Ovis aries: one gene and its partners. The protein of the gene in region 2 interacts with the protein of the main gene of each other region in a pairwise test. Links are inferred from orthologs where the notes say so. Each region holds a gene or a part of one and is shown on either strand. Other genes may lie near its edges. The genes, in order: CCND2, CDK6, cyclin-dependent kinase 4 inhibitor B and CCND3.

Evidence for each region.
Region 1: the proteins of CDK6 (region 2) and CCND2 interact in a two-hybrid assay, tested with the Homo sapiens proteins (2 studies listed by BioGRID, with this or other methods). The link is inferred for Ovis aries from reciprocal best matches to the Homo sapiens genes CDK6 and CCND2.
Region 3: the proteins of CDK6 (region 2) and cyclin-dependent kinase 4 inhibitor B interact in binary tests that used the Homo sapiens proteins (3 or more experiments, as listed by UniProt). The link is inferred for Ovis aries from reciprocal best matches to the Homo sapiens genes CDK6 and CDKN2B.
Region 4: the proteins of CDK6 (region 2) and CCND3 interact in binary tests that used the Homo sapiens proteins (3 or more experiments, as listed by UniProt). The link is inferred for Ovis aries from reciprocal best matches to the Homo sapiens genes CDK6 and CCND3.

What each region holds. Positions count from the first base shown.
Region 1 is NC_056056.1:211,616,357-211,624,227, forward strand, and holds the start of CCND2 (G1/S-specific cyclin-D2), read right to left. Parts: upstream 4,740-7,871; coding exon 4,545-4,739; intron 3,778-4,544; exon of another isoform or gene 3,342-3,777; intron 2,818-3,341; coding exon 2,602-2,817; intron 1-2,601. UniProt on the Homo sapiens protein: Regulatory component of the cyclin D2-CDK4 (DC) complex that phosphorylates and inhibits members of the retinoblastoma (RB) protein family including RB1 and regulates the cell-cycle during G(1)/S transition.
Region 2 is NC_056057.1:10,940,251-10,948,018, forward strand, and holds the start of CDK6 (cyclin-dependent kinase 6), read right to left. Parts: upstream 5,294-7,768; 5' UTR 5,152-5,293; intron 2,545-5,151; exon of another isoform or gene 2,388-2,544; intron 2,276-2,387; 5' UTR 1,906-2,275; coding exon 1,673-1,905; intron 1-1,672. UniProt on the Homo sapiens protein: Serine/threonine-protein kinase involved in the control of the cell cycle and differentiation; promotes G1/S transition. Phosphorylates pRB/RB1 and NPM1.
Region 3 is NC_056055.1:90,784,657-90,790,612, forward strand, and holds the end of cyclin-dependent kinase 4 inhibitor B, read right to left. Parts: intron 4,396-5,956; coding exon 4,135-4,395; 3' UTR 2,194-4,134; downstream 1-2,193. UniProt on the Homo sapiens protein: Interacts strongly with CDK4 and CDK6. Potent inhibitor. Potential effector of TGF-beta induced cell cycle arrest.
Region 4 is NC_056073.1:15,731,526-15,738,389, forward strand, and holds the end of CCND3 (G1/S-specific cyclin-D3), read right to left. Parts: intron 4,060-6,864; coding exon 3,900-4,059; intron 3,386-3,899; coding exon 3,249-3,385; intron 2,776-3,248; coding exon 2,608-2,775; downstream 1-2,607. UniProt on the Homo sapiens protein: Regulatory component of the cyclin D3-CDK4 (DC) complex that phosphorylates and inhibits members of the retinoblastoma (RB) protein family including RB1 and regulates the cell-cycle during G(1)/S transition.

The DNA of each region.
Region 1 (7,871 bases), on a different chromosome or scaffold from region 2:
GTATAAAACCCACACAGGCTAACCCAGTGTCCCGGATGGGAGGCTTGGGATCTAGACCAGCCTTTTGAGGATGTTCATTAGGACGAGGCTAGACTGCAAGGTGGGACCATTTATCAGAGTGGTCCTAAAGTTTTGAAGTGGATGATGGCTCTTAAGGCTTCAAATGTCAAGCTCCCCAGAAACCTGAGCACCCAGGTGGCCCCTGCCTCGATGGTCCTTTCTGCTATTTCTTCAGCCTCTCCAGCTGCACACCCCACCTCCCCACCCAACCCTGACTTCCAGAGGATGCTCTCGCCCGCCCACCCAGGAGGTTGAATTCACAGTAAAATACCGCCAAGGTTGTGGTGGCCCTTTGGTAGGAATTTATTGTATATATCAGTGACTGGATTAATGAGTCTTTTTTTTCATTCTCCTGGAAAAATGATGTACACAAAAAGAAGCTCAAATTTAGGTTTCTTGGCCTAAATTCTTGACAACCAATTAGCTCGTCTGCCGTCGATGCCAAAAAGTACCATTTTCCTCTCTGCTGCCAAGACTTTCCCCTGGACACACAACGCAGAAGACCTCAGGAAATGACACCCAGACACAGCACACCCTTCCACATACAGGTTTTCGCAGTTTTCTGTTACCATGACTAAAGGACCGGAGGGTCACTGGCCACCCCCAGCCCCCCACCCCGTTTTGCGGCTAGAGGGGATTCAGGAGAGGATTAAAGTGCTTGTTCGAGGTCATAGAGAAGAATGCAGCCCAAATCCTGGCACAAGGCTAACCCGGTGTCTGTGGGCCTCTCACCAGCAGCCCACCTACTGAAAAAACCTTGTTTCTTTTCCTCATGGAGGTACTTCAGGGGGAATTATGCTCAAGGGAAACAAGTCAAAAAGAATGCCTTAAAAAAACGTGCAGTCAGAGGGAAAACAGGTCTATCGATAGATCACCGTCAGAGGAACGAGAGGCTGAGAGCAGCCTGCCAGTGCAGCTCGCTCCCACATTCACCCGGGGAAACTGACTCTCTTCCCCCCAGCCACCGGAGCCCCATTCTGCCCACGGCACCCACCGGCTGTGTGGTCTCCCCCAAAGCCCTCCCCTCCCTGGTCTTAGCTTCCTCATTGGTAGAATTGGAGGACCCCTCTAGAGCTCAACTTCTGGGATAAAGAGACTAGGAACAGACACGTGTGTCTGCAGAAATACAAATTAGCTTGGCAGACCCTCAAAAAACTTGGGGTGCTCTAAAAGATCTGAGCTCCCCATCATGATGAAACAGTGATGCAAAAGGAAGATTATTTTTCCTGGTCTTCCTTGGGGAAAACAAATAATAACTGGATCTTAATTCTACCCATTTGTTTGTCTTTACTGGCTTTAATGTCGGCCTTTGCTTTTTTCCGGAGGTTGGGGGTAAAAACACAGATAGCCTTCTAAACAATCAGGGTCTTCCAAGACGGCTTGAAATTCCAGCTCTCCTTCTCACCGGAGAATGTGAGTATAAACCACTCGACTTGTACCATTATTAAAGGAAGCAGATCTCCCAGAAGAAAGCACCTTTCTGGGCCTCTCCGACCAAACCAGAAGCAGCTGAAATCTGGCAGCTGTTCAAAGGTGAGGTCATTCATGCCCCTCTGCATTCTCGGAGATTCCTCCCCGTCCTTGCACATGTCTGCCGCTAGGTGGCAGCACAGCCTCAGGGAGGACGGCCTCTCACAAAGAACTCAGTTCAGGCAGCCAGTCCAGGCCCTCTGGACTTCGGCGCAGGCCTGGCCAGCAGCGAGGGAGGGTGGAGGTGGGGGGGGCGCTCTTCCAAAAGAGTTGGGAGATGGGTGTGCAGATCACTGAAGGTGGGCCTCTGGGGCTACTCAGCCAATGCCACACTACGGCTACATGGACGTCTTAAAGGTGAAGCTGCAGAGGCAAAGGGTCCTTCCTACTGGGTGGGGAAAAGGTTTGCTGGCAGAAAACCAGAGCCCAGACAAGATCCCCATGTCTGTACAGAGGTTACAGCCCCACCAAAGACGGGAATCCATGCCTCCGAATCCTCCCACAAAGGGCCAAACTTGACTCTGCTCAAAAGCCAGTGAGTTGGTGTTTAGTGAACAGCTGCTATGTCCAGGTATGCCAGAGAGACTGAGAGATTCCCTAGACGCTACCTTTGAACTCCTAGTTCTTAGGAGACACGTCACAACGCGTCTGGATCATGTTGAGGTTGACGACTGTCTCAGAAGTCAGTGATTGAAAACTGGGAATTTGATTAAAATATTATCACTGTGTTCTATACCTCCACTACACACACACACACACACACACACACTCTCTCTCTCTCTCTCTCTCTCTCTCTCTCTCTCTCTTTCTGCAAATGAGTGTCACCAACCCAAAACTCTGTGAAGGAGAATCTTATGCATGGGCGGAGCCTGAGTGCTTTGTATATACAGTCCAGCACACAGTAGGAACACAAGGAGTCTCAATAGGAAAAGTCAGAGTTCCCCAAAGGGTGGACATTTCACAGATGGGTAATTTGGGGTCCTAAGAGTTTGTTCTGGGAGCGGTGGGTCAAGGCGGATTAGGCCAGGGCAGAGCAGAAAGGCAGGCAGGCAGGAAGGAGGCAGGCATTACCAGCAGCTCCTGAGGCTTGATGGAGTTGTCGGTGTAAATGCACAACTTCTCAGCGGTCAGCGGGATGGTCTCTTTGAGCTTGGACGCCAGGAACATGCACACGGCCCCCAGCAGCTGCAGATGGGTCTTCGGAGTTGGGACTCCGGCCAAGAAGCGGTCCAGGTAATTGATGGCGAGAGGAAAGACCTCCTCTTCGCACTTCTGCTCCTCACAGACCTACGACATGAGTGGGAAGGGGTCGGGGTAGGGGGAGACCATCATATCAGGAAAGGAGGAAGAAAGGGAAATCGCACAATCCAGGGAAATGACAAAAATGTTGAATTTGGGGGGAGGGGAGGGGAGTAGAATAAGCGATAAGAATGAAGACGAGGAAACTGGGGGCAATTTACATGGCCATCCGCGCGGGGGTCCTCCCCGGGAACTTAAAATCTCAAAGGAGAGGGGGCTTAAGGACCCCGAAGCCGAGGGCGCAGCAGCGCCGGCCCCGCCGCCCCCGTGGGCCGCTCACTACTCCGGGCGCTCGCACTCACTCACTCTCTTTTTTGGATTTCGTCATCTTTTCAAAAAATCAATAAAAATATTCTGGAGGCTCCAGGGGTCTCGTTCTTGGTCTCATTCGGATCCCCAGACCCTGCTCTATCATTCCCGACAATTGAAAAAATTGTCTGGAGGGGTCCCCGCGGCCCAGGCGCCGCATTTGGGGGGGTGGGTGGGGAGAGGTGGGGAAGCGGGGGGAGGGCGGAGGGAGCGAGCGCCGCGCAGCCTGGGCGGCCGGAGTCGGAGCAGGGGAGACGGGTTCAAAAAATAATTAAAAATCGAGGAAATATCCCAGAAAAGCCCTTTCGCCGTGAAAACCCCGCAGAGGACCCAGGCTTCCCGCAGCGGAGGTTTGAGGCGCCGGGAAGGTCTGGAGCGCGACCCCTGGGGCTTCGGATCCCGAGGGGAAACTTGCAGGGGAGAGCGCGGCGGCGGGAGTGTCCGGCCGCGGCCCACAAGGGCAGAGGCCGGGGACGGTGGCGAAGAGCTGGGGGACGCTCGTGGACGGGGAGCCGCCGGGGAGAGGCGCGGGGGGCTCCGGCCTCTCCTTCGGGGGGGCCCCGCTATCCCCCCTGCACACACCTCCTCCCCCTCCCACCCCACCCAGATCTCCGCACCCAGGAAACTGAAGGCCGAACCGTAAGTAACCTTCACGAGGGGGCGGGGTGGGTGATGGGGGAGAGAGGGCGCCATCAGAAGTGGGGGGACCGGGGTCGTGGGGTGCGAGGGGGAGCAGGCGACGCGTCCAGCCGCTCCACCCCCGAGTTTACAAAGCAACATGGCGAAACCACGGCAGGTCCGGAGCCGTGCAGACGTGGGCACACGGCAAGGGTTCGGAGCAAGGGGAAAGAAGTGCTTCTTCTGGGTTCCCCGAAAACACACGTTTCTTCAGTGTGACTTCCGGGGCTCCTGAATTCCCCATTTCTCTTCTCCCTCCGCCCTCTCCCTCCCCCCTTAAGTGCCAACGCGGAGTCCCGACCACATGCGGGGACCCGAGGCTAGGACCCATTTGCTCTGGCCTTTGCGGGGGAAGGGGGTGCAGCTGACTTTTTAACTTCGGGGTTCACCCTCCCATTCTCTTCTTCAAGGCACCGCAAGCAGCCTCGGCTTAGCAAAAGGTCGCGGCGGGGGTGGGTGCCGGTGGGAAGAGGTGGCAGCCGCATGCAGGCACACGCGCTCGGGATGCTCCCCCACCCCCAGCCCTGGGACAACCTCGCTGCTCTCCCCCTCCCCCCGCCCCGGGAATCTTGCACCCCCCGCAAGGAACCGAGAGGAAGCCACGCGTCTGGCCGAGGGCGCGGGGGTAAGCTCTGGCGCAGGAGTGGGGGGGCGGGCTCCCGAGGCTGCCCTCGCCCAGGTTCCGGGACCGGCGCGGGCGCCGACGGAGCGCCTGCCTGCAGCCCTACCTCCAGCATCCAGGTGGCCACCATCCTGCGCATGTAGGGCTGAATGTCCTTCTGCACGCACTTGAAGTAGGAGCACTGGGGCAGGTAGCGCTCCTCGATGGTCAGCAAGTTCTGCAACACGCGGTCGTCGTGGAGCAGGTTGGCGTCCGGCACGGCCCTGCGGACCGGCTCCACCTCGCCGCACAGCAGCTCCATGGCCAGCTGGCTACTCGCTCGTGCCCCTGCGATCTCCGGACTGGAAAAGTTGGGGGTTTTTTGGGAGGGGGGAGGGGAGAGGATTCCCCGTACCTCCTTCCTTTGGCTAAATAAGGGTTTTTTTAGAGGGGTAGAGTTAAAGGCAGAGAGAGAGAGAGAGAAGCCGGGGAGGAAGAGTGGAAAGGGAAGGATGGGCGGTGGGAGAGGAGCGCCCCGGGGGCGGCTGACTCTCTCTGCCCTCCCCTTCAAACTTGTCTGCTCTCCCCAGCTCGCTCGGCTCTCTGCTCGCTGAGGCAGTGACGCAAACTGGCTGGGCAGTTACTTCTCCTCCCTCTCGCCTCACCCCCCTCTCCGGTTCCTCCTCCCCTTCCCTCCCCTCCCGGCCCTCCCCTCCTCCTTTCAGTCTCTCCCTCCTTTCCCCTCTTGTTATTAAGGAGAACAGCAGCTGGCCCGACCAAACTTCAAACGCGGTCCCCCGCGCCGCCCCCCACCCTCTCCCTTAGCTCTCCGAGGCCCTCTCCCTCCACCAAGCCAGGGGCCCAGGAGAGGGGAACCCACCAAAAAAACCACAAAACCCCACCGATCCCTACTTATTCCCTGTAATTGCAGCCCATTCTGTAGGTGCATCCCGCCAAAAATACGACCCTCCGACTCTGGTTTCCTCAAACATGATCGCTACACTCCAGCCCACGAATTTAAGATCCAGGAATGACGGGTGGGTGAGCTGAAGATGAGGTGGGCTCAAACGACTGAGAAATAAGATCCCTTATATGAGCCCGAAGGAGGGTGATTTTGGAAAACAGTTAACTTTGCATACCCAGAGGGAAAGGGTATGTATGGCCCTGAAATGTACGTTCTTAATCATTTTCAGCCTGTTTCCGAAACCCGATTATAGGGACCAAAATACACCCCCCCACTCCGCCCCATGCCACCGCCCCACCCCCCCCACCACGCAGATGTGTGGGGAAAGGAAGAAGGCGGAGGGGTTGGTGTCCGGAGGGAGGGGGCGCTTCTTCGACGTGGGAGAATGTGACCTAGGAGCAGAAACCCTCCCGTTCTTGGGGCGCCGCAGGCGCCACTGGGAGACGCGGGGAGGCGCCCCGAGCCGCCGCAGGCCGGGGGCAGGGCTACCAGCGGTTCCGCCGCGGCCAGCGGCCACGCAGGAAAAACCCGCTTCCTCGCCCTGCATCTGCTGACAAGCCGCCCGAGGTGTCTGCGCCGAGCGTGGCCACACTGATACAGCTTTCTAGGAAATAGCCCGGGGCGGGGGGGGGGGCCGGGAGGGGGGCGAGAAAGGGGGGTAGATTGGGCTCCCTGTCTCTCCCCCAGCGCCAACGACACCACTCCTTCGTTTCCTCCGAGGCCCAAGATCTCCCACCCCGGGTCCCTCGCCGGCACACTCGCGGACCCTCCGGGTTCACGCCTCCATCGCAGCCAGGGCTTTCTCCTCGAGAACTGGACTGCGGTGGAGACGCGGTCGGCTCCGACACGTGCTCCGACGCATCCTCCGGTCAAAGCAGCTTTGGGAGGGGATCCGGGGGCGTTTCCTCACCTCCTTCCTCCCGCCACCCCCCTCCCACCCTGCCCTCTGTGCTATTTCACTCCGAGGGGGAAAGGAGCGGGCCCTGCGTCCCGGGTGCTGGCCGAGCTGGCACGTGCGGCGAGCGCCGCGTGGGTCGGGGCTCTCGCGACACCCCGAGGTCAGCCCAGCACCTCCCTCGCGGAGCAAGGAGGGTCTCAGAACCGGGGCACGGAGGGCGAGCGTGGTCGGGCGGGTGCGGGATGGGTGAACCGGGCGAGCGGTTCCCTGAAAGGAGGGGGAGGTGAAAGGGAACGCGGGGAGCGCGCAGAAAACCAGAGGTGCGAGCGATTAACTCCGGCCCCGGGCCCAGCCCCTTTCCACGAGGGTGGGGCGGAAGGGGTGGGTGGGTGGGTGGGTGGGTGGAGGGGGCTATCGCTTTAAAAGGGTGAGTAAGAGTTTGGGGCGCCGTCTCCCCTCCCTCTATTTGCATAGCCAATAGCTCTGGGTCTCCTGCTACTGCGCGCTGATTGTTACCGGGCAGATTACTTTTTTTTTTTTTTTTTAGTAGGACGCGTTCCCCGCTACATCAAAAGGAAGCCAAGGAAGGGAGGGCGGAGGGAGAGCGGGGATGGGGCGGGCGGGGGCTGGTGAGAGGCCGGGGCGCCCGCGACCTTATCAATAGCCGCAGGAATTAGGATCCTATCGACTGTACGTAAAGAAAGGGGAGGGAAGGGGGCGGGCGAGGAGAATGTCTAATTACGGTGGAAGCCATTAGCTTTCGGGAAGAAAAAAAAAACCTCGCTGAAAAACCCAAGTTGCAAACTCAAAATGAAACAGCCCCGCGCGGCGGGTGACACCCGGGGCCCAGGAGCGTGTTCCTCGGAAAAGATCGGGTCCCTAACAATCGCCTATTGATTTCAGTCAACGTGGACTTCCCGACTCAGGCCTTGAATCACTCCGGATAAATACGTTAACTTACATTTTAAGACCCCATAAAAGACCTACTCAAACTTCAGTTCAGCCACCTTTGAGCGGATCAAAGAAAGCCTGCAGGAGTTGAGGGTGGAGTGGGCTGGGGGCAGTGGGGGCGAGAGAGGTATTTTTAAAGTATAAATCTGCCCCGACAGGCAAGGACAGAAGCCGGCCAGGGCCCCCAGCCTCTTGACATCACTTGATAACTAACGCAGCACGGTCTTTTCTCCACCTCCCTGCAAAGAAAGCATCCTGAGCTCGGGGTCCCCTGAAGAGGGGCAGCGGGGGGCGGAGGGGGGGTGGGGAAGAGGCGGGTGGTCGTCCTCCGGGCCTCGCCCACCCTGGGGAGAAAGCCTGGGTGGCAGGGCCTCAAGTCTCCGGAGCGAGCCGAGGGGCCCCCTCGCCCCTTCCCTCCCCCCAACCCCAAACCCGTCTGGCTTTACTGAGAAATTCCGGCGGGGAGCGGGGCCGGGGGCGGAGGGGAGGCGGTCGTGAAGGGGAGGGGCGCAGGCGGGTGCCCCTCTCCCAGCCGCCCTCTCCGTCCACCCCGATCCGCCAGTGCGGGCGCTCCCCGCGCGGCAGGCTCGCTCCTTCCAGTTCCCCGTTGACTTCCCCTTCTGATCACCGACTCTATCCGA
Region 2 (7,768 bases):
AGTGGAATTCACCCTTTGGGAAGTGACTGGGTGATCCCTGTAGGAAGATAACTAAGTTACAGGGTACAAATGTACCCTTCGCTTTCCTCTCCAGTATCACAAAGATGACCCAAAAGGGTTTCTGTTGTTTTTCAACAACAACAAAAAAACACACAGGTTACCTACAGTTTTTATATATAATCTCATCTTCCTAAATCACTGATTCTTTCAGTCCCTCTCTTCTCTATTGGCTAAAACATAGGTATACTGGGATCCAAGCTTTACAGCCATTTACTGCCTTGCTCACGTAGTTACAATTCTTTGCTGCCTTCTCGCCTGAGTCCTGACCGTGGCAGGAGCAAAGCACCATACAAGTCATCCAGCCTGGGATGAGAGGAGACAAGTCGAAACCTCCCAGGAAGACTGCAGACACATGGGCTCCCTGAGTCTATAGAGGGCTTGGTATTTCAAAGGTCAGTCTTGGGTCTCTCCACTTTGGTGACTAATGTTAAATTGTTTGACTTTTCACAAAAACATTTAGCTATGCTTATTTACATAATCTCATCCACAGCACACATACAGTAGTAGATATGTATTTGTTGACTAGAGCCCCTTGACGGATGAGAAGACAGGAAGAAGACTTCAAGACCTCCTTTTTCCAACTTATTATCTTAGACGTTGAGAAAGGTAAAATCACACCCTAATTTGTAGAAGTTTCCGGGCATTCCTTTTCAGCTTAAAACTATGCACCTCTGTTTAAAAAAGAAAAGGATGACACACCACACAATGTCAAACACACAATGGGGAAATTCCAGGATCACTAAGAAAACACCATTATCCAAAGTCACACACTTTGGTTTAATACTGGTTCCCACACAAGAAACACTGTAAGAACTGCTGCCTCCCCACCCTCCAGCACAGCCCACCCAGGAAAATCCTGGGCAGGACGTTTAGAATCTAAATATTCCATAACCTGGACTGACTGACAGGGAAGGAGCCTAAGGACTATGCCCTCTTAGACACACAAAATAGTACAAACAGATAACATATTTGGAAGACATTTTTAAAAGGACACAAACTGGGCGTTGGCACTGAAGTTCTTCATCAGGAATCCTTATCATTATGCAATGTTAGCGAAAGGAAACTGTAGGTGTAATTGACAAAATTATTCTCAAGTGTTTCTGCACTTTAAAACCTCATTTATACTAGGCTCTGGCAGAAGACTTTTCTTCCTACTAATTACCACCATACCCTGTTACCTCTCATTCATTCTCTCAAAAACTTCCCCAATGGCCAAGGAAACCACGCGGGGGGGCTGGGGGTGGGGGGCTGGGGGGGTGGAGGCCTGTCCGAGATTGCCCTGTTCTATCCCCTAAAAGACACCCATCTTTCAGGACCCCTTTCAGGACGAACCGGGAGAAAAACACTTAGAACTGGCACAGCGGCGAGGAAGGCTGCGCAGGTCATATTTTCTGACTGGTCTTTTTGCTCGCTGTCTGGCAAGATCACTAGCTCTGGCTCGTGGCTCTGTCGACAAAACTCACTCTCACTCCGTAAGGTCGACGGATGGCGCCATGCCTCCCCCGCCGTCCCCCCACCCTCCCGCACACGCAGCATCTCCGTGGGGCCGGGGATACCAGGCCCTCCCCCAGCACACGGCCCCCGACGGCACGGGCGCCGATGCACCGCTCACCTGACCACGTTGGGGTGCTCGAAGGTCTCCAGGTGCCTCAGCACCGCCACCTCGCGGATGGTGGAGAGCGGCATGCCCTCCTCGCCAGTCTGCACTCTCACACGCTTCAGCGCCACGAAACGGCCTCCGTTCTTCAGGTCCCGGGCCTTGAACACCTTCCCGTAGGCGCCCTCCCCGATCTCCGCCACGCACTCATACTGCTGGTCAGCACGGCTCAGGCCGTCCTTCTCCATGCCGCCCGGCGCGGTGCCGCTGGGGCGGGCGGGGGGCGCGCTCGGCTCGCTGGTGGCCGCCGCTCGCCTCCTCCCGGACTCCCCGGCCGGCTCCCTCGCGCCCCGGAGCTCGGTCTCGCTCACTCTCTCACCCCCCGCCGACTACCACGCTCGGGCGCTCGGACTCTCGCGGCCGCCGGGGCTGGATGGAGCGACCTCCCCGCGGGCGGGCGCAACCCTGGAGCCGCCGCTGCGAAACTCCGCCTGCTGAGTCGCCGAGGAGCGAGCCGATCCCTCCTCTTCCCTCCCAGAAGCGCAGTCCTCTGCAGACACCGAGGCGATTACATAGTCTGTCTCAGCCCGAGCGCGTCTCAGTCCACGGTCATTCCACCTAAAAGAGGAGACGGGAGGACAAGAAGAAAGTGTAATCAGACATCCCAGGCGCCTTCTCCGGGGTTCCTACAGGGACCCCTCCTCCTCCTTTACGCAGCCCCCATCGCTACCCTCTGCGAGCTCCTGCCCTCCCAGGCCGCTTCCTTCCTGGTTTCTCCGAGAAAAACGAAGTTACTTTTCTTTCCCTGCAGAGCTAGAGCCGTCTTCGCCCGGAGAGGTTGCAGGGGCCCCTCGGGGATGAGCGCGGGGCGCTGGACGCGGTGGAACGAGAGGGGGCGTGCCAAGCAGCCCAGAGTGTGCCGGGAGCGCGGGGGAGGGGAGGCGCCGGGCACGTCAATGTCACGGCTTAATATTTCCCTGTATCATTGTGTTGCGCTGCTCCGCTCCCTGCCTGCCGGGCCTGGACGTCAGGGGACAGGGGCTCCATGGGTGCCGTGGGGGCGTTCTGGGGTCGTGCGCAGCCTGGTGTGGACAGACCTCGGGTCCGCCTGAGTGCGGCCGCAGAATGTGGGTGGGGGCTCCCAGGACCTTTGTAACCCGATGCTGCGAGTGTGCGAGAAGGGGTGGTCAGACATCTGCTCGGAAATTGCTTCCTTTCTTTCTACTTTCAGTTTTTCTACGAGGAGACATTTAAAAACGACACACAAATGGTCTTTTTAAGGTAAAAGAGTCTGGGTTGGAAACGGAATCCTTCCTCTTACTTGGGAAGACCTCCCTGGTGGAAACCCATCAGATCCGAGAGGGCGGGAGCTCCCGCTACTCCGGAGTGGGTGAGCGATGCCTCCCCCCGCGGTGTGGCGGCGGGGGCGAGGGGGCGGGTGAAGTCGCCTACGGAACCCTAAGAATGGGATAAAGAGGTGCTCGCCGCACTTCAGCTTGTCGTCTCCTTGGAGAACAACTTCAGAAGCAAAGCGGCATAATCGTCACTTGCCTTGAATTTTTCAACCGATTGCAACCTGAGCAAAACTCAGCTTCCCCTTAAATAGGGTGAGGGGTGGGGGGAGTAAAGGCTGAGCCTCCAGGGGAAAGCGAAAAGGGGTTGCGCCCCCGGGGCCAGGACTCGAGAACCTTTCCCCACTCCCAGGGTTGTTCCCGAAGTAGGTAGCAGAGGTTGCTCCACTCCCCTTCCAGTTTAAGGTCGGATCCGAATAGCAGCCAGTGACCCCCGGAGCTCACCCCACACACACAACAAAGCGGCGAAGGGGGGGGGGGGTCGCACTCTTCTTTCCCATTCAAGCTGCAATCCAGGACCCAGGGGACCTCTGCTCCACCAACGCTGTGGCCTCCGCCGGACATTCGCCGCTCCGACTGCTTGTCCGAAATTCCCCGGAGCTCCTCGGAATTACCTGCCCCGCAACCTCTGGCTCGCTCGCCTTCCGCCAGGAATTAAAGATACAGACTGCGCGACCCTTGCGGTCTGCGGGCGGAGGGGACCGCGGAGAGCACCGGGCCCCTCACACTCTCTCCATTCAAAATTCTCCTTAAAAGGTGAAGGCCAGTCCTGGGTAAGGGGGCCGAGGAACGAGCCCCCTGAGCCAAGGAACCAGCGGTCGGAGCCAGGCCGAGGGCCACACAGGTAGCGGAGGAGCCGCGGCGAGCGGCGCCGCCCGCCCCCTCCCGCAGGCCCCCTCCCAGCCCCAGTCCTGCCCGCCGCCCGGCGGCGAAGGAAGCGGCGGGGACGTCCCACCCCCGCAGGGAGCTGCGCCCGCCGCCCCCGCCGGGCCCCGCACCGCCCGCCCCGGCTCTCCCCCCTCGCTCCCCGGACTGTCGGCTCCGGCGGAGAGAAACGGGAGCAGCCGTGCCTCCCCCCGTCCCCCGCCCCGTCCACTTTTTTTGTTGTTGTTGTTGCTTTCCCACGCTGGCTGAATGTGACTTGACCCCATTTCAAAAAAGTTTGACAGAGTGCTTCAACATTTCCGCATTCCTCCGCGACTACAAAGGCTGCAGCCGCCTCCTTCTGCTTTCTGTCTCTGCTCTCTGTCTTCACACTCAATGAAATCCTTCATGTGCCTCTCCCGAAGCCTGCCAAGCACCGCAAGGGTCGCCACCACCGCGGCGACCAGAGGCCGCCCCGGGGGACCACGACTCCCGCGTGTACACACACGCAGATGCGCCCACGTGCACACTGACGGGCGCGGGGCTCGGGCCAGGAGGTGTTCACCCCGGGGGCGTGCGTTTTAACGATATTTTAAATTAGGAAAGTAAACTAGGAAACTAAAGCAAGCGTCCATCCTTGCGGGGGGACTTCCAGCCTGGGCACTGGCCGCCGGCGTGTACTCCTCTCTTAAGTGCAGAACACGCCCGCGGGGGCTGCCAGCAAGAAGTCTGCGTTAACATTTATCTCGCGGTGGGGAAGGTGGAGCTCACACCCACACCTCGGCGAGATGGAGGGGGAGCTTTCGTGGGGAAATAAATACAAGGCACCGAAACACATTCTCTCCCGCGTGAGGTTCCCCAAAGCAGTGCATTTTAAACCCTGAATGTAAATTTCTCGGTGAGTTTCCCAGTGGAGCCTGAGTTCCGTTTGAAGGACTGGATAAGAAGTGTTTGTGTGGGTGTTTGTGCGCAAGGCTGTGTGCGAGCAGGCACAGGAGCTCGGCGTTGGGGGGAGTCCCTCGTGTGGGATGTTTCCCTCTAGTCAGATTAGGAGAAACTCCTGTAGCTCCCCCGAAACTGGCCCCTGTAACCACCCCTCCTCGGATCGTAAGGGGTTAACCAAAGCCGATTCCCAGAACCTACCGCCCCCCCTCCCCGCCCCAGTCACCCCCACCCACCCTAGCCGCCGACCCCGGGCCAAGCCCCCAAGTCTTCCCCAAGGACCACCCCCCCACCCTGCACCCTGCCGCCCACCCACCAGAGCGCACAGCGCCTCACCTGAGGGGCCCGGCCGCGGCGGGCCTCGCGAGGGGGCTGCGGGGACCGGTCGACCTTCGCACGTGTCCGCCGCGGCGCGGAGCAGGTAAACCGGCTCGAGGAAGGAGTTAGCGGCGCTCGCTCGGGCGAGGGGGTGGGCACTGCGGCGGAGGGCGGAGGGACGGCGGAGGGCGCCGCCCGCGCGGCGCGCTGGGGGCGGACGGAGGCCGCGGGGCTCCGGCCCGGGCTCGGGGCCCGAGCCGGGGAGGCGGCGGGGGCGGGGTGGGGGGCCCTGGAGGCCGGCGGCCCGCGACCCTCCCGGCGGCCGGGTGGGGGGCTCGCCGCTCAGTGGCCAGCGAGTGTGCAAATTAAAGCCTTCCGGAGAGAGGGGAGGCGGCCGAGCCCCGGCTGTGCTCTGAGCCTCCGGCTCCCCGGCTCTCCGCTCCGAGTGGGGGGCGAGAAAGAGGGGGGAGCTAAATGAAAATTTCCGGCTTTCGCTGCAACTGGAGTGGGGTGACTAAAATAGGAGGCGTGAGAGGGAGAGTGGGATGTGTGGTCGGCAGTCGGCTGAGTTACCAAACCGAGGGTCGCCCAGAGTTGGGGTTTTTGACAGAGTGAGGCAGGCGGGGGGTTTCAGCAGTCAGTGATGTAGACAGATGGGGAAAACACAAAACGACCGATAATAGTCATGAGGGGCCGGTGGGGATGGTAAATACTAACACTTTTCAAGAAACTGAAAAGTCAGATCAAAAAATAACTTTATTTAAAAAAATTGGCAGGACGCCTTGCAGAAAAGAAAATACTAATCTGTCCAAGCACTTTTCACTTTCAGCATGAGCTACATTTGTTTTGTTTTCCTTCGCTTCCTTTCGGCCTCACAAAGCCCTATCTTTTCCTTTTGGACGGAGGATATGATTTGGAAATTGTCTGGCACTCTTGTGGTTAACGATCTACTTGAAGGGGCTGGCCGGCTCACAGTTATTAAGTGATTAGTAACTGCCGAGGGTTCACTAAGGTATTTCTGTGGAGGTAAAAAGCCTAAAATTGACTTTAAGTAACAGAACAGCAAGATAATAGACACACGCACACACACACAAAGAAGAGAGAACACGATTCGATGGGTGCTTACTTTAAATGCATTACTGGACTTCTGAAATTTGAAACTTTGTAAGAATGTATACTTTACCTGCTGAGAAAACCTCAATATTTCAGGTGAAAATTAGATTTTGGAGGAAAAGAAAAGTCTTCTAGACTTTTACAATGAAGTAAAACAAAACTTAAAATGACTATTTTTTTGGAAAGAATTCAATATTATCCAAAATCTCTATCTGTAAAATACTTGAAACCCTTTGAAATATCTTAATGCAAACCCTAAAAAAAATGTTATTTATTTCAGGACTCTGTGTAAAAATTAAAACCCAGAAAAATTCTGTTTGAATGAAAAATACTACCACTATAAATCTGTTGACATTTTGAATTAAACTATTTTGCTAATTTCACAGTAGATCAAAATTTTGCTTTATAAAATTGATTCTATAGTATAATGTGAAGTAACAGGTTAGGTAAATAAAAATTGTTGCATTTTCATTAGCAAATATTTTGCAAGGTATTATAATAATTTATTCTTAAAAAATAAAGTGTGTGTTTTATGCTTAAGATAGTTCATAAAATACATTTTTTGTGTTTAGAAGCATATCTTCTAAATTAAAAGCCAATTTCTGAACAAAATTTATATTAGTAAAGATTAGCTATAATCTCATATACCTTACAAACTTAAGAAAACAAAGTGTTGGAATTTGTATTTCTATAAAATACTGGATCACTACAAATCACTAATTAGACTTTAAACCAGAGACACAAATGGGAATCCTCCATTTTGATAATTACTTACACTATCAATGCTTTTTAAAACAAGATTTATTTGTTGGTAATTAACACATTTATGTAACTCAGAAATAATTGTCAATAAATAGTCATAGGAACCAGCAAATGACTGTAAGAATTTGAGTAAATAATTTGTTTAAAAATACTAAGCTGTAAATATCTTTTAAATTAACAGAAAAATATCTTTTCTACACTGAGTTGCGTTTTTCATTACTGAATTGGATAACAACCATAGATGAATTAGAAACCCCATGATTTAGCTTACTAGATTACTTGAGCAATGTCAAAAACAATGAAACTTATTTAATGACATAGATTAATACTGAGTGTTACTTACCTCTCTTTATGTCATCTGCTTTCTCTGATACTGTTAATTTGTCATATTCACTCTGCTTGGTTATGGTTCATTCAAACTCCACGTTGGTTAAAGCTTCATATCAGGAAGTTTTACAATGGATTGTATAAAATTAGTAAATACCAGATTGTTTTTGTTTATGGATACCTTCCTTTGTGGGTAACAGGTTATCAACAAAATTTGTGCCAAGTTTATAAACTGTGAACAAAATTCTGACTCCTTTGTTTAGGAGTCCTCCATGAATGAGTACATCATTCCAGAATAATTATTTGTACCAGTATTTTCACACTGCATCTCAGATATTCTAAAGTTGCAAATCACCTTAGTTTTTTAAAAATTGGAATTCATGAATTTCCAGATACGCTGTTGCAGCTTACCCTAAAAGTTTTCTGAGTGTCA
Region 3 (5,956 bases), on a different chromosome or scaffold from region 2:
TTTGGCCACCTGATGTGAAGAACTGACTTATTTGAAAAGACCCTGACGCTGGGAAAGATTAAAGGCAGGAGGGGAAGGGGACAGAGGATGAGATACTTGAATGGCATCCTTGACTCAATGGACAGGAGTTTGAGCAAGCTGTGGGAGTTGGTGATGGACAGGGAACCCTGGCGTGCTGCAGTCCATGATGTCGAAAACAGTGGGACAGGACTGAATGACTGGACTGAACTATACCTATTCAGGTGATACTAAGCTCTTCTCTGACCAGCTGCTTCCTACTATCACCTAACACTTAGGGACCTAAAACTTCAAACAAATGAGAAAGTGCAGACCTTTAGAAACGGGTTTGTAAAATCCGTGACAGCTATTTACAGTTATTCATCTTCTAATGACATTTCTACATATTTTAGCATTCTCATGCTTCACACTTTCTTTTTCCTTCCAAAATCCCCATTCTTTTTTCTTGGTTTTAACTCCTATTACCAACTCCTTTTAGGTCAGAATCACTTGTTATAAGTGTACTTAAAAAACATCATTCCTTTCAGAGCATTTAGTTGGTAAATTCCTACTTCAGCATTATTTTAATAAATTTATTGGATTTACCTGCTTATCTCACTTAAAGAACTGGGTTCTTTTGGTGGCTCTGCGTGACATGAGATAAATGCAAAATGTGACAACAAAAAATCAGGTAAGATGGAGTAAGAAAGAGCTTAAAATTAAACTACATATTTATTTTACAAAGCATCTTTTTTTTTGTGCTAGTTCCCACAAACTTGTCTCTAACTTTTCAATTAACTGGTAGAGGTGGTACTTATAAAAATCCCCCATTCCCCAGGGCTCCAGAATTTAAAAACTATTGACTATTACATATTAACACACAAGTAATTTGTTTTTTAACATTTCCCATAAAGGAAGGGCAATATAGAATCTCAATGTGATTGGTGTAAGTTAAATAAGTTTTATTTGCTGAAGGTCAGCAAATAAATTTCTTCTGTCTCTTCCCTTATATAGCTTTTCTTGGCTCAGACAGACCATGGCAAAATCATTACTAATAAAACATAAGACTCTATTACAGTCATGTATATGACAAACTTATAAAGGGATAAAATGTTAGTGCTGATTAGGAGCTTAAAAATAATCTAGTACCACTCCCATTTTTTATAGATGAGGAAATTGGGGCTAGTCATGTCATTTAATTTAGTAGATCATATATTGAATTAGTTGAAGAACCAATATCAGAATCCAGGTCTCCTATCTAATTTCTCTTTCCTTCATTCCCTCTTTCTTCCCTGGAATTTTAAATAGAACAGGAAAAGATGTTGAAAGTATTGTGATTCAACTCTTGTTGCTTCTTCAAGTAATTTAAAAAAATAAAATATTATTTTCTTATGTATTTACCCTCCCATCTTTTTAAACTTGGTAATTGAATGCAATGAAATTACACCAACCTAGGTTTTCACAAGATAATGAAATAGTTTGTTAATAGTGAAAACCTAGTACTCATATCAGATTTTGGTTATGATTAGCTGCTGATGTAAATACTGAAGCAGTCTTCTTATATTGTAGATGACACTCGCTTTTCCATTTGTTTCAGAAAGTAGTCCACAAGTGTGTTTCTAAGGTTTTAGAATCACTAATTCTAATTGCTTTTTTTTTTTTTTTGGTAGAGTGGCAACATCTTGAACATTGGAAAAGAAAAATAAGCATGTGTTGGTTTTTTTTAAATAACTGATAATTACAGAGGTGGTAAAAAAAAATCCCTATTGACTATTACATATTAACACACAAGTAATTTGTTTTTTAACATCTCCCATAAAGGAAGGGCAATATAGAATCTCAATGTGATTGGTGTAAGTTAAATAAGTTTTATTTGTTTGCTGAAGGTCAGTTACCTAGCTTTATAAAATGAACTTATTTGGTCCTGGACACCATATTCATGTTGTTTTTGTCATAACACAGAAATAAAATATCATTAAGGCATTCCTATGAACACACTTTCCCAAAACTGTTAGGAGCTGTATGGATCTTGAGCTCTCAGAATTTATTTCATTCCTTATATTTGAAGTCACTAATTTTAGCCATTAGAACATAGGAAATTTTAAACAGATTTTGCTTTCAGAGTAAAGCATCCTCGTTTTCTCATCCATTCACTCGGCTGAAAAAAGAAATAAAAAATGAGGCCAAATGAATATGTTATTGAATTATAAATTTATTTTACTTCCAGATCTTGCAGTGAAGGTCAGGTGATAAGACTTTACAAACCTTGGTAATATTTTAGATTTAGATACAGAAATTAGCATATATATTTTTCTGTAATTGTAAAATGGAGCCAGAAGCAGGGCTCATGTATATAGAGCTATATTTATTTGCATGTATCCTTCAAAGTAAAATCTTAAACAGAGTCAACATATGTATTTCTTGTGCAGCTGATAAAACACATTGGCCATCCTTACTTACCAGGTGGATTTGAAATCTGAATTTATTTTTACATGCATCATAAATATTTCAGTTGCAACCTGGTGGTACTTGATTTTCCAATAATGTATGATGTTTTGGCACATATATATATGTGTGTATATATATATATATATATATATATATATATATATATATATATGCATCTCACAGTACCCTGTAGTACCCAACCATATTTTCTTGATTTACTTTCCATTAATATAAGGTTGTCACCAGATTCCACAACTCCCTTAAATTAGGAATGGAATTCACATGTTTTAAGCCAAAACCTTGGTGTCCAATCTCAACTTTTCTTTTTACCATTAAAACAGTGAAATGTCAGTTATTCCAATGCTGTAATGAATCAAGCAACACTGGAAATGAAATCCCCAAACAGTACACCTTTAGTTTGTTCAACAGATATTAAGACATTTCACGAACCATCATTATGTATTTTCGACAGCTTCACACTCAGTACTCTTTCAGCAACCCTTTGGGAAATACCCTGAGATCATTTACTGGGTAAGGGCATGGATCTTCTAAGAAAAACATTTGTAATATTTCATAGTTTGACCCTGGAGACACTCCAGTAAAGGAAACAAACTTTAACAAAGAAATAAATAGGTTAAAGACTGAAGTAATCTGGGAGATGGCACTGTGCCACAGCTTCGCATAAAAGCTGTAGTTCTTCACTTCCTTCCCAAGAGCTGCGAGTTACTTTGTTATTTAAAGTCTCCGAATTAAGACTGCTACTGAAGAACAACCCAGAAGTACAAAATATCACGAAGTCATTTCAAGTGGCAATTTACAGGGGGCTCTCTGAATCCTACCGTATAGAGATCAAACAAATCTTTACAGTTAACAGTCTTCCTACAGTCGCTCTCGCTACAGCCCGGACTTCAGTCTGTGCGAGGAGGGAACACCGCAGGAATCTCGTCGTAACAACAGCAAATGAGCGCCCCTTTCGGAGAGCTGTTCAGCATCACCTCGACCTGGGGACTTTAGAAAAAGCTGGCAAATTGAGGTGACTTCCGGGTCCTCTCTCACCCATCGCTCTCTGATGGGGCTGGGCAAGAGGTCGCAAGGCTTCCAGTGGGTAGCTTTTTGCTCGCGACCTGCCCGCTCCTCAAGCCTGTAAAGAAAGCGTTGGTCGCCTACTGAGCCCGTGTCGACCTTCGTCCTCGTCATTGCGTGGTCCTTCATCTCCAGATTTTCCCTCAGGGCCCCACGCCCGACGTGGGGACTTGCAGGGGAGGTCCTTCACGGTCAGTGGGGCGATCGTTATCATCTGCCTCCCACCTGAAGGCTAGTTGCCGCCGCCTCCCACTCCGCCCCAGCACCTCGTGTGTGAAGATTCACAGCACTTGGGTTTGTTCATGGACTTGTTCACAGGCCGCTTTTCACCAGAACACCCTGAAAAACAAACCTGGGAGTTCCACACTCGGCTCCTACTGGAAATCCATGTGCCGCACCTCTATTCATTTTATCACGGTGAGTGCCGAGGGGCGGTATCCGGGGGGGTGGGGAGAAAAAAGTATTCCCAGTCAGCTCCTCCTTCGCTGCCGGGAATCCAGTCGCCCTGGAAGACTTCCGCTGCTCCACGTTTGCAGCCCTCTTTGAACTAAGTTGGGGTGGCGAACTGGAGAGAAAGTCGTTGTGGGCGGTTGTGTACGCGCACCCTCAATCTCCCGCGGCCGCGCGCAGGTACCGGGCGACGTCGCGGTGGCCCCGCTCCTCGGCCAGGTCCACGGGCAGGCGGCCCCAGGCATCGCGCACATCCAGCCGCCCCCCGGCTCGGTGCAGGGCCACCAGCGTGTCCAGGAAGCCCTCCCGGGCGGCGTCGTGCACCGGCCGGGTGAGGGTGGCGGGGTCCGCGCAGTTGGGGTCCGCGCCGTGGAGCAGCAGCAGCTCGGCCACGCGGGCGCTGCCCATCATCATCACCTGCCAGAGAGAGCAGAGTGGTCAGGACGCAGGGGCAAGTAGAGTCTTTTCCAAAAAAAAAAAAAAAAAAACCCTATTCATCCAGGCCCTTACAAGCCTCGGAAGTCTGCTGCTGCTAAGTCACTTCCGTCGTGTCCGACTCTGTGCGACCCCATAGACAGCAGCCCACCAGGCTCCGCCGCCCCTGGGATTCTCCAGGCAAGAACACTGGAGTGGGCTGCCATTTTCTTCTCCAGTTTATACTCTACTCAGACCTAATTCGTACAGTTTTATTCTCCGAACGTGGGAAGACAAGGAAGAGCTGATAACAAAGTGCTTATTGCTGTTGTCGGAAATTTTTTAAAAAATTTCCGTTGAAACAGGGGAACTATGTTGTTAAATGATGTATGAGCATAGTTAAGTTTAAAGACTTAAAGTCTTAAATTTATTTCGCTTGCTCTCCCCTCTCCCCCAGCCATAGTCCCCATCTAAAAAATTTACTAGGCAGTCAGCTGATATATTTATTTTAGGCGTTAGAGTAATGCTTTAGGAGAGAAAATAAGAAACAACTACGTTTAAAACAAGGTTTACTTTGTTTATTTCTTGGAGTAAATCCCCTGTGGGAAGGCTTTTGCTTTTCTCTGTTATATGTCTTTGCTCATAAAGTGCGTATATATGGTCCCATAATTTGAGCCACAGTGGGAGATAGAGGGGGGAAAAGTAAAGTCGTGCATAGTTTTATAAGACGATGAAAACAAACTATTTGTTTTCAATCAATGATTCACCACTTTTAATATTTAACATTATAGATAAGGGCTAAAGTTTAGAGGATATTTGATGTAACATAAAATAGATACTATATTTGCATTGTACAGGATTTTATAATGTGCTAGTATTTTATATTGTTAAATAGTAAACATTTTGCTATCTAAAAAGGATCTTAGATTTTAGCAGTCAAATCAGAGCAATGCATAACTTAGAAAAACAATGTTTTGAAGCAGTAATCCTACAGTATCCATTTGTGTACATGTGCATTATGCCGGCATTTACTTTCTTATTTTAACAATTTTTGATAATTAAATATTCAAAATGAAATTTTATTTTCTTGTGAGTTTATGCTTTAAAATGTACCATGGAATCAAAATATAGTATGCTAATTTTTTCATTGTTCCATGGTTATTGAAAACATCCATCTCCTCCCTTAAAAACCATGATATATTTTCTATTAGTGATGTAAAGGGCATTTCATATATAGAGGAGAAAAAGTGGCTCTTAATATCTCAGAATATGGTGAATTAAAATGACAAATAAAAGCCCCCCCCTTTTACAGTTACTAATATAATTGAAGTCTTTAAGGACTACTTTAAAATATTTTTGCTGCTTTTAATAATCCCTCATTTCTTCCAATATTTTCTATGAATTCAAAATGAATACATATTTAAAAATTGCACGATTAACAAGATTTCTTACTAATGACTTGGTTCTGGAAGATGATTGTGAAGTGAATACTAATTTTTAGTATTTAATACTGCTGAGGGATAACAGTAAGACACAAAGTACTACCTTAGATTTTAAAGAAATT
Region 4 (6,864 bases), on a different chromosome or scaffold from region 2:
CTGATGGTGACTGGAGGTGATTCCGAGCCTTGACAGCTGAAGACCCGGATCAGGGCCAAGACAGGTCGCTGGCCTCTGACTCCCCAGTTCTCAACAGGGGGACCTGAGTAGGGCTGGTTCCCTCTTGCGTTCTAGGCCTGCATCCCTGCTCAGTTCTGAGACCGGACTTGAGGTCCCACAGCCCAGCACTCCCGGGTCCCAGCTAGGGTTGGAATGGGTACTTCCTCTCAGGCTGGTGTCAGGTCACCGGGAGGTGGATAAAGACAAAAGGCAGGTATTTATTGAACCTCAGTGTTTTGATGTGATGGATGGAGATCTTTGCTATCCTTGTTTCGCTGGAAGCAAGCACTGCTTCGCTGGAGGCGGGCACTGCTTTCCCCTCATGCGTAGCAGTGGATTCTTACCTATTTACATGGGAGCCACGTATTTCCCCCACCTTATTCTTCTTCTCTAGGCTGTACCCACCCTGCCAGCCCCTAGAGGGCACAGCCTTTGCCTTCCCCTGACACAAGCTACTTGGGGAGAATACCAGCAACCAGGAGGTTGTTCAAACACGAGAAGGTCTCAGATTGGTTGCAAGAGCTAGAAGAAAGCACCTAGAGGAAGGTGGAAATTCAGGATGAGAAAGGTCAGACCCAGGGTCACCACCAGACCAGTTCCCTTTCTAACTTTCTTAGCCAATGAAAGCGTTCAACCAGGGGTTGGCAAATCAGGGTTGTGTATGCCTGTTTTCTTACAGTCCATGAGAGAAAAATGATTTTTTACATTTTAAATGGTTGGTGGGGGAGGCAGAGAAAAAACAGCAGTATTTTGTGATAGGTGAAGATTATATGAAATTTAAGTTTCAGTGTCCCTAAAATAAAGTTTTATTGGGACACAGCCACATCCATCCACTTCCATGTCCTGTGACTACTTTCACTGCCCCTACAGCAGAGACCAGTGCAGCCTGGCTAGAACCCTGTTACTTGCTTTTGCAAATATGAGTTTGTTCCAACCTAATGACTCTATTCGGTCATAAAGCAAATTTCATTTATATAGTTCTGTCTTGAGACACTAGATGAAAGCAAAAAACTACCCCCACAGAGCCAAGCCAGATGACACAAAACGCACATGCCCAGCCCTGTGCCAACGCCCCCAGCTCACCTTCTGGGTTGGCACCACACCCACATCTGGTGTCACAACGTGCCTTCCACATCCTTCCGACCTCTGCTTCCACAGCCAACTTCAGGTGTTTGTTTTTCAAGATAAAGGGCCATATTTATTACAGTATGTTTCTTAGCCATTTAATGTGTAAAAACACCATCTTAAAAAAAAAAGTGTCCTTCATTAAGTATTTGAGTATTGTGCTTCAGGCCCCGTTTTCCCCCATAAGCCATGTGGCCTTAATTGTGCAGTTTTGCAGTGCAGTGCTTTTTAGAAATGTGCACATCAGGTTCTACAGCAGACCTTCGGATAACACAGGCAGAAGCCACATGGCCCACAAAGCCTGAAGTGTCTGCTCTGGCCCAAGACAGAAAAGGTGGGACGACTCCTGCTCCAGACATTGATTTCTGCCTTCTTTTACCCCATGCAGTCTAGAAATAGGCTTTCCCACAGACTGCCCTCTAATCCAAGAAGCCAAAGTCAGTTTTATTCTAGAAACTTTATTATAAAGGTAGCATGATGGTCCTCAGCCACCAGCCTGGACCTTGTGGCCTCAGGAAAGACCTGTGTTAACAGGGCCTGCCTCCCTCTCTGGACAGGGGGCTTGGTCATCACCAGGTCATCCCCTGCTTCATTCCACAACACCCCCTGCTCCTGGAGGATGGGGCAGAGGGCCAAAGGGAGAGGAGGGTATGGCCCCACTCCAGGCATAGCAGCTCCTTGGCCACAAAGATCCTCTAGCAAGTAGCAGAGGGGAGGAATACAGCAACCACCAGGGTTACCACCCCTGTGGCGGGGGGAGAAGGGCCCCACCACACCCTCATACAGTTGTACTCAAAGTAATTAATAAATTAAAACAACTTCCTTCTGCACTGACACCCCCCTCCCCCCAATCACACAGGAGAAGCTGAGCAGAAAGCAAAGCAAGGAGGTTGGTTCCTGCCCCTGGACGGTGGCCGGGGCCCCTCCTAGGAGTAGCTAGGATTATGCCGGGCCTCCACGTGCTTGGAGAGGGATGTCCACTCTTGCCCCTAATGTGTAACTAGAACATCCGAGGCTTCTTCAGAAAGATCCCAATCCAAATGCAGTAATTAGGGAATCCCCTGGCGGTCCAGTGGTTAGGACTCCGAGCTTTCTCTGCCAGGGGCTCGGGTTCAGTTTTGGCAGTTGAGAGCCCCAGAGATAAGGGAGCCCCTAGAAAGGAATGCTGGTACATGTATTACACCTCAATGTCACTGGCTGGATGCAGGCAGGAGGAGGAGCCGGACTGGCCCCCAGCCGTGGCCGGCCAGGCCCCTTAGTGCACGCTGCAGGGTTAGGTAGGACCTGACCCCCCTGGCTGGCGAGGGGCAAGGGGAAGGAGCCCCCTCAGGCTTCAGCTGTGGCATGATTCCGTTCCTGCAGCCAGGGAGGGACAAGGTCCCCTCCTGCTGTCAGCAGCCACTCGAGGGGGCCTCTCCAGGGCTACAGGTGGATGGCCGTGACGTCTGTGGGAGTGCTGGTCTGGCTGGGCCCCTGGCTGCTGGAGACCCTGGGGGCTTTGGGCGCTGGGCTGGGAGAGGTCTGGGCGGCTTCCCTGAGGCTCTCCCTGAGGGCAGCTTCAATCTGCTCCTGACAGGCCCGCAGGCAGTCCTGGGGACAAGGGGGAGTGGTGAGGAAGGTCCGCTTCCCACCCCGCTTCCCGTCCTCCACCAGCATCTGGCAGCAGGTACAGGAGGACACCTCCCAACACAGGGAAGTCTGGGGAGGTTAGGCCACAGCCCAACCCCAGGAATCAGCCTTCAGTTCTCAGAAACTGGCAAGAGGATGTGGCAAGAGGGTGTGAGAGGGCCTGACATCTGACACCGAACCCCCCACCCCCACTCCTGCATACTGCTCGGCAAGGAAAGGGTACCCAGGGGCAGTGCCTTTCGGCCCACCCGCAGCACTTGCTCTTCTCCAGACCAAGGCAGGAGATAAAAGACCACAGAAGCCACAAAGGTGGGGCACTTGAAACCTGGAGTGGAGACCAGGTTGGGGGTGGTCCATAGCACCCTCTGCTGGAAGCTCAGGGGAAAGTGCTACCTCGTGAGCTGAGGCCATTTGCCCAGCTGCCCAGCACTCACCACTTCAGTGCCTGTGATCCCTGCCAGCAGCTCTGTGAGCTCGTCCCCAGACGTGGAGCAGGCACCCAGGCCTTGCACTGCAGCTCCGATGCTGCCTGTGGCAATCATGGATGGTGGGTACATGGCAAAAGTGTAGTCTAGGAAAGAGAAAAGGGACCATGAGACAAGGGTGAATACCAGCATGCACCTTTTATTTCCCAGGAAGTGCCAGGCTGTATGAATAGAGCACGGGTATACTGGGACACCCCAGCAGTGCGTGGTATAAGAACAGCTGGGGAGAGGGTCAGGGTAGTAAGTGATCCAGGCCAGGAACCAGAGAGTGAATGGGTCTCTTCCTGGTATGGACACAAAATTAAGGTTAAGAGACCTGGGTTCTTGGCCTGGCTTAGTCACTGAGACAGCCTGGGCAAGTCACTTCTCTCTAAGTCCTTGGTGTCCCCAGCTACATACTCAGGTGGGAGGTGGGGGTGGGGGGCTGCAGCATCTCTGAGATCCCAAACAGCTCTGCTGCTTTCTTGTGTTGATACTGGGGGCTCAGAGGATAGAATTTTCACAAATTTTGAAGTTATAAACCGAACCTCCTAGTTCTCTCTCACCTTTCCAAGTCTTCTGATTTCCCTGGCTTGGCACATGTGTGTGTGGGACTCTTACCTGTAGCACAGAGGGCCAAAAAGGTCTGGGCGTGCTTCTTGACCAAGGCTTGTCGGTCGCGGGGCAGAGAGAGCCGGTGCAGAATCAGGGCCAGGAAATCGTGGGCAATCACTGCGGCCAGGTCCCACTTGAGCTTCCCCAAGACCAGCACCTCCCAATCCTGGAGGCAGAGGAAGAGGGCGGGGTCAGTGGCTGAAGAAGGGAAGGGGAGGAAGTAAAGTGGAAGTCTCACAGGGAACGAAGCACATCACACTTGAAGGTCAAGACTCCAGGTCTGCTTTTGAACTTCAGGACTGGCACTGTGGAATGGGGAGTCCAGGGCAGGGAACAGCTAGGGGCACTTGCTTTGAGCATCTATTGATCAACTTCCTAGATGCCAGAACTACATGCTTTACATAAACTGCCTCTTTTAATCCTGCTGGGTTATCTTTTGGGGGTCCAACTGTCCAGGCCTTCTCTCAACTTCCTGCAAGGCTCTGAGCAGGCCTCCAGTCATAGCTGAAAGAAAAGTCTGCAGACCACCATCACCAGGAACTAGAGGCTCTTCTGGTGTGAAGCAGAAAGACTCTCCATAATCTCAAGGATTTGCGAAAGGGGAGATTACTAGCCTCTCCCCCAACTCAGCATGCCCACCAAGTCCACACCTCTTGAAGAAACTGGGGTTAGCGTGAGGCCCTTCCTCCTCTGACACAGCCCCTGAGCCAACCCCAAGGTTCCTCAAAGTGGAGGTTGCCCAACCCAACCCACATCCCCTTGGGGGGACACTGGGGTGGGGGGCTGAAATAGAGCACCCCACTCCACCTCTCTGGCTGAAACCCAGTGCTTAGTGTCTTTGAGTCTCAGGGGGAGAAGTGGAGGTCAAGGCAGACAGGATGGGTCCAGGTGATGATCCCTGAGGGACCAAACCATCTCTCCATCAGTCCCAGCCTCCCTACTACTGCTGGGTCCTGGAAGGAGACTGGGAGCCCCACCCAGTCCACTCCTCTGAGGTTCCCAGCCCTGGCCCTATTTCTGAGTTGCACACAGGAGGATTTCTTCATTGTCTTATCTCAGGAAGGAACTCACGGGTTTGACCCTTCATGGGGTAGAAATGGCAACCCCACCCAATCTCTTTTCGGCCCTCTGTCACAGCTGCCCCTCTCCTGGCCCCCACCTAGGTGTCATGATCTTCAGCCTCTCACAAAGCCTCACAGAAATCAGCCTGGCCTGGAGCCAGAAGAAGTTGAGCAGAGAATTTAGCATTCTACTCCCTGTGCTTATTCCAGGGGTCAAACTCCTAACTCAGAAGTCAACAAAAAGCATCCAGGATCCAAGGAAACATCTGGAAGGCAGCTCGGAGTGGGGACGCATAGGGTCCTGCGTTGGGGGAAGGTGGCCACCTTACCCTCCATCTGGGCAGAGTATCTCCTGAGAATCTCAGTCCTCACATGACAGAGAACACACCCCTAGCAGCTTCCATCAAAACCCTAACCTCTGAGGCCACCTGAGGCCTCAAACACACCCTCCGTGCAGCACCAAGCCAGGACCCTTCCTTCCTCCTCTGGGCCCCCACCTTCTTTGCGGCACAAGGATTATTTGGACTGACCGGAGCTCTCTGATGTCCCTTCCAACTCTGACCTTCTAGGAAGTCATCGATCGGCACGCTCCACCCCCAGCTCAGGCAGGGGGAGTGGGAGGAGAGGACTTTTGGCCTGTTCTGAAAAACTGCCCTCACATAAAGGCACACATCCCATGCTCATCTTTTCACAAAAATGAAGTCCCCTTCCACCAGCCCAAACTCCTTCAGAAACATCTTGCTCTCTAGCCCTGGAAACCAGCTCCACCTTCAGACTTGCCCCAAACTACCAGATTCATCACAAAGAGCTGTGGAGCCTCCCAGATTCCCAGCTCTGGCCTCCTACTCCCATATCCGAGAGCTACTTGGCAGGAAGAGGAATCCCGTTCCCCGACAAGCAGCACTCAGGGGCCCCAGTACCCTGGCTTTCCTGGCCAGCCAATCACAGCAGCCAGCACGCTGCCCTCCTCCCCGGGAGATGGGGCCCAGAGACGCCTCTCGGGTCAAGAGAAGACTCGACTGCTGTAGAGCAAGATGGAGGAAGGTGCCAGCTCACCCCTCTCCCCTGGGTCCCCCGAGAGATGATCTGCACGCTCCCAAATAACCTCTTCCAAATCCAAGCAACTCCCCACCTCCTCTCCAGGCTCAATGGGGAAAGAGAACCATGACTCCCCTGCCCTGCCTCGGGAAGAGCCCAGCCCAAGTTCCCAGCAAGAGGCCCAGGGAGCCACTTCCCAAACCACAGGAGTGACAGCAGCTCCCCACAGGGTTATGAAAGACCTTGGTCAGGGTGGGTGGGCCAGGGGAGAGGGCATCATTATCACATCGGAAGCAGCTGCAGTTCAGCCCCAGTCTGTGCCTCAGCACTTGCCTTTGGCTAAAGGGGAAAAGATGATTCCACCAGGCCTGAAGCAGCTGCTTCTGAGAGCAATTTCTCAGGGTGAGACTAGGGAATGGAGAATGAGGGAAGGAGCTGGTTCTCCTGGGATATAAAAGGAAGGAAGGAAGCAAAGTGGGATGGAACTCCTCGGCCCTTCCTTACAGCAGCTGGGGCCTGGCTTTAATCAGCTCTGGGAGACTTTTTGATCACAAAGTCCACACACTGGGAGACAAGATTCAACCCGGGCGGCCCCTTCCCCCACGTGAAGCACGTTCCACTCCCCCACTCCAGTGGGGGTGCACAGGCATGCCCTGCTGCTGCCAATAAATAACTCCTGGTGGCTGTGTAAACCCAGAGGCAAAGTTCTGGTGAGTGTAGACATGCAGTTTGACTTGTTGCTATCTGGGGGAAAGACCATGAAGGAGTGGCACCCCCTGGAGGTCAAGACAGGGGATCTGGTTCATGCTGGGAGTGCAAGCCTGAACTGGGGCCACCCTGACCATCACACCACACTGTCCCATCTTTTGTCA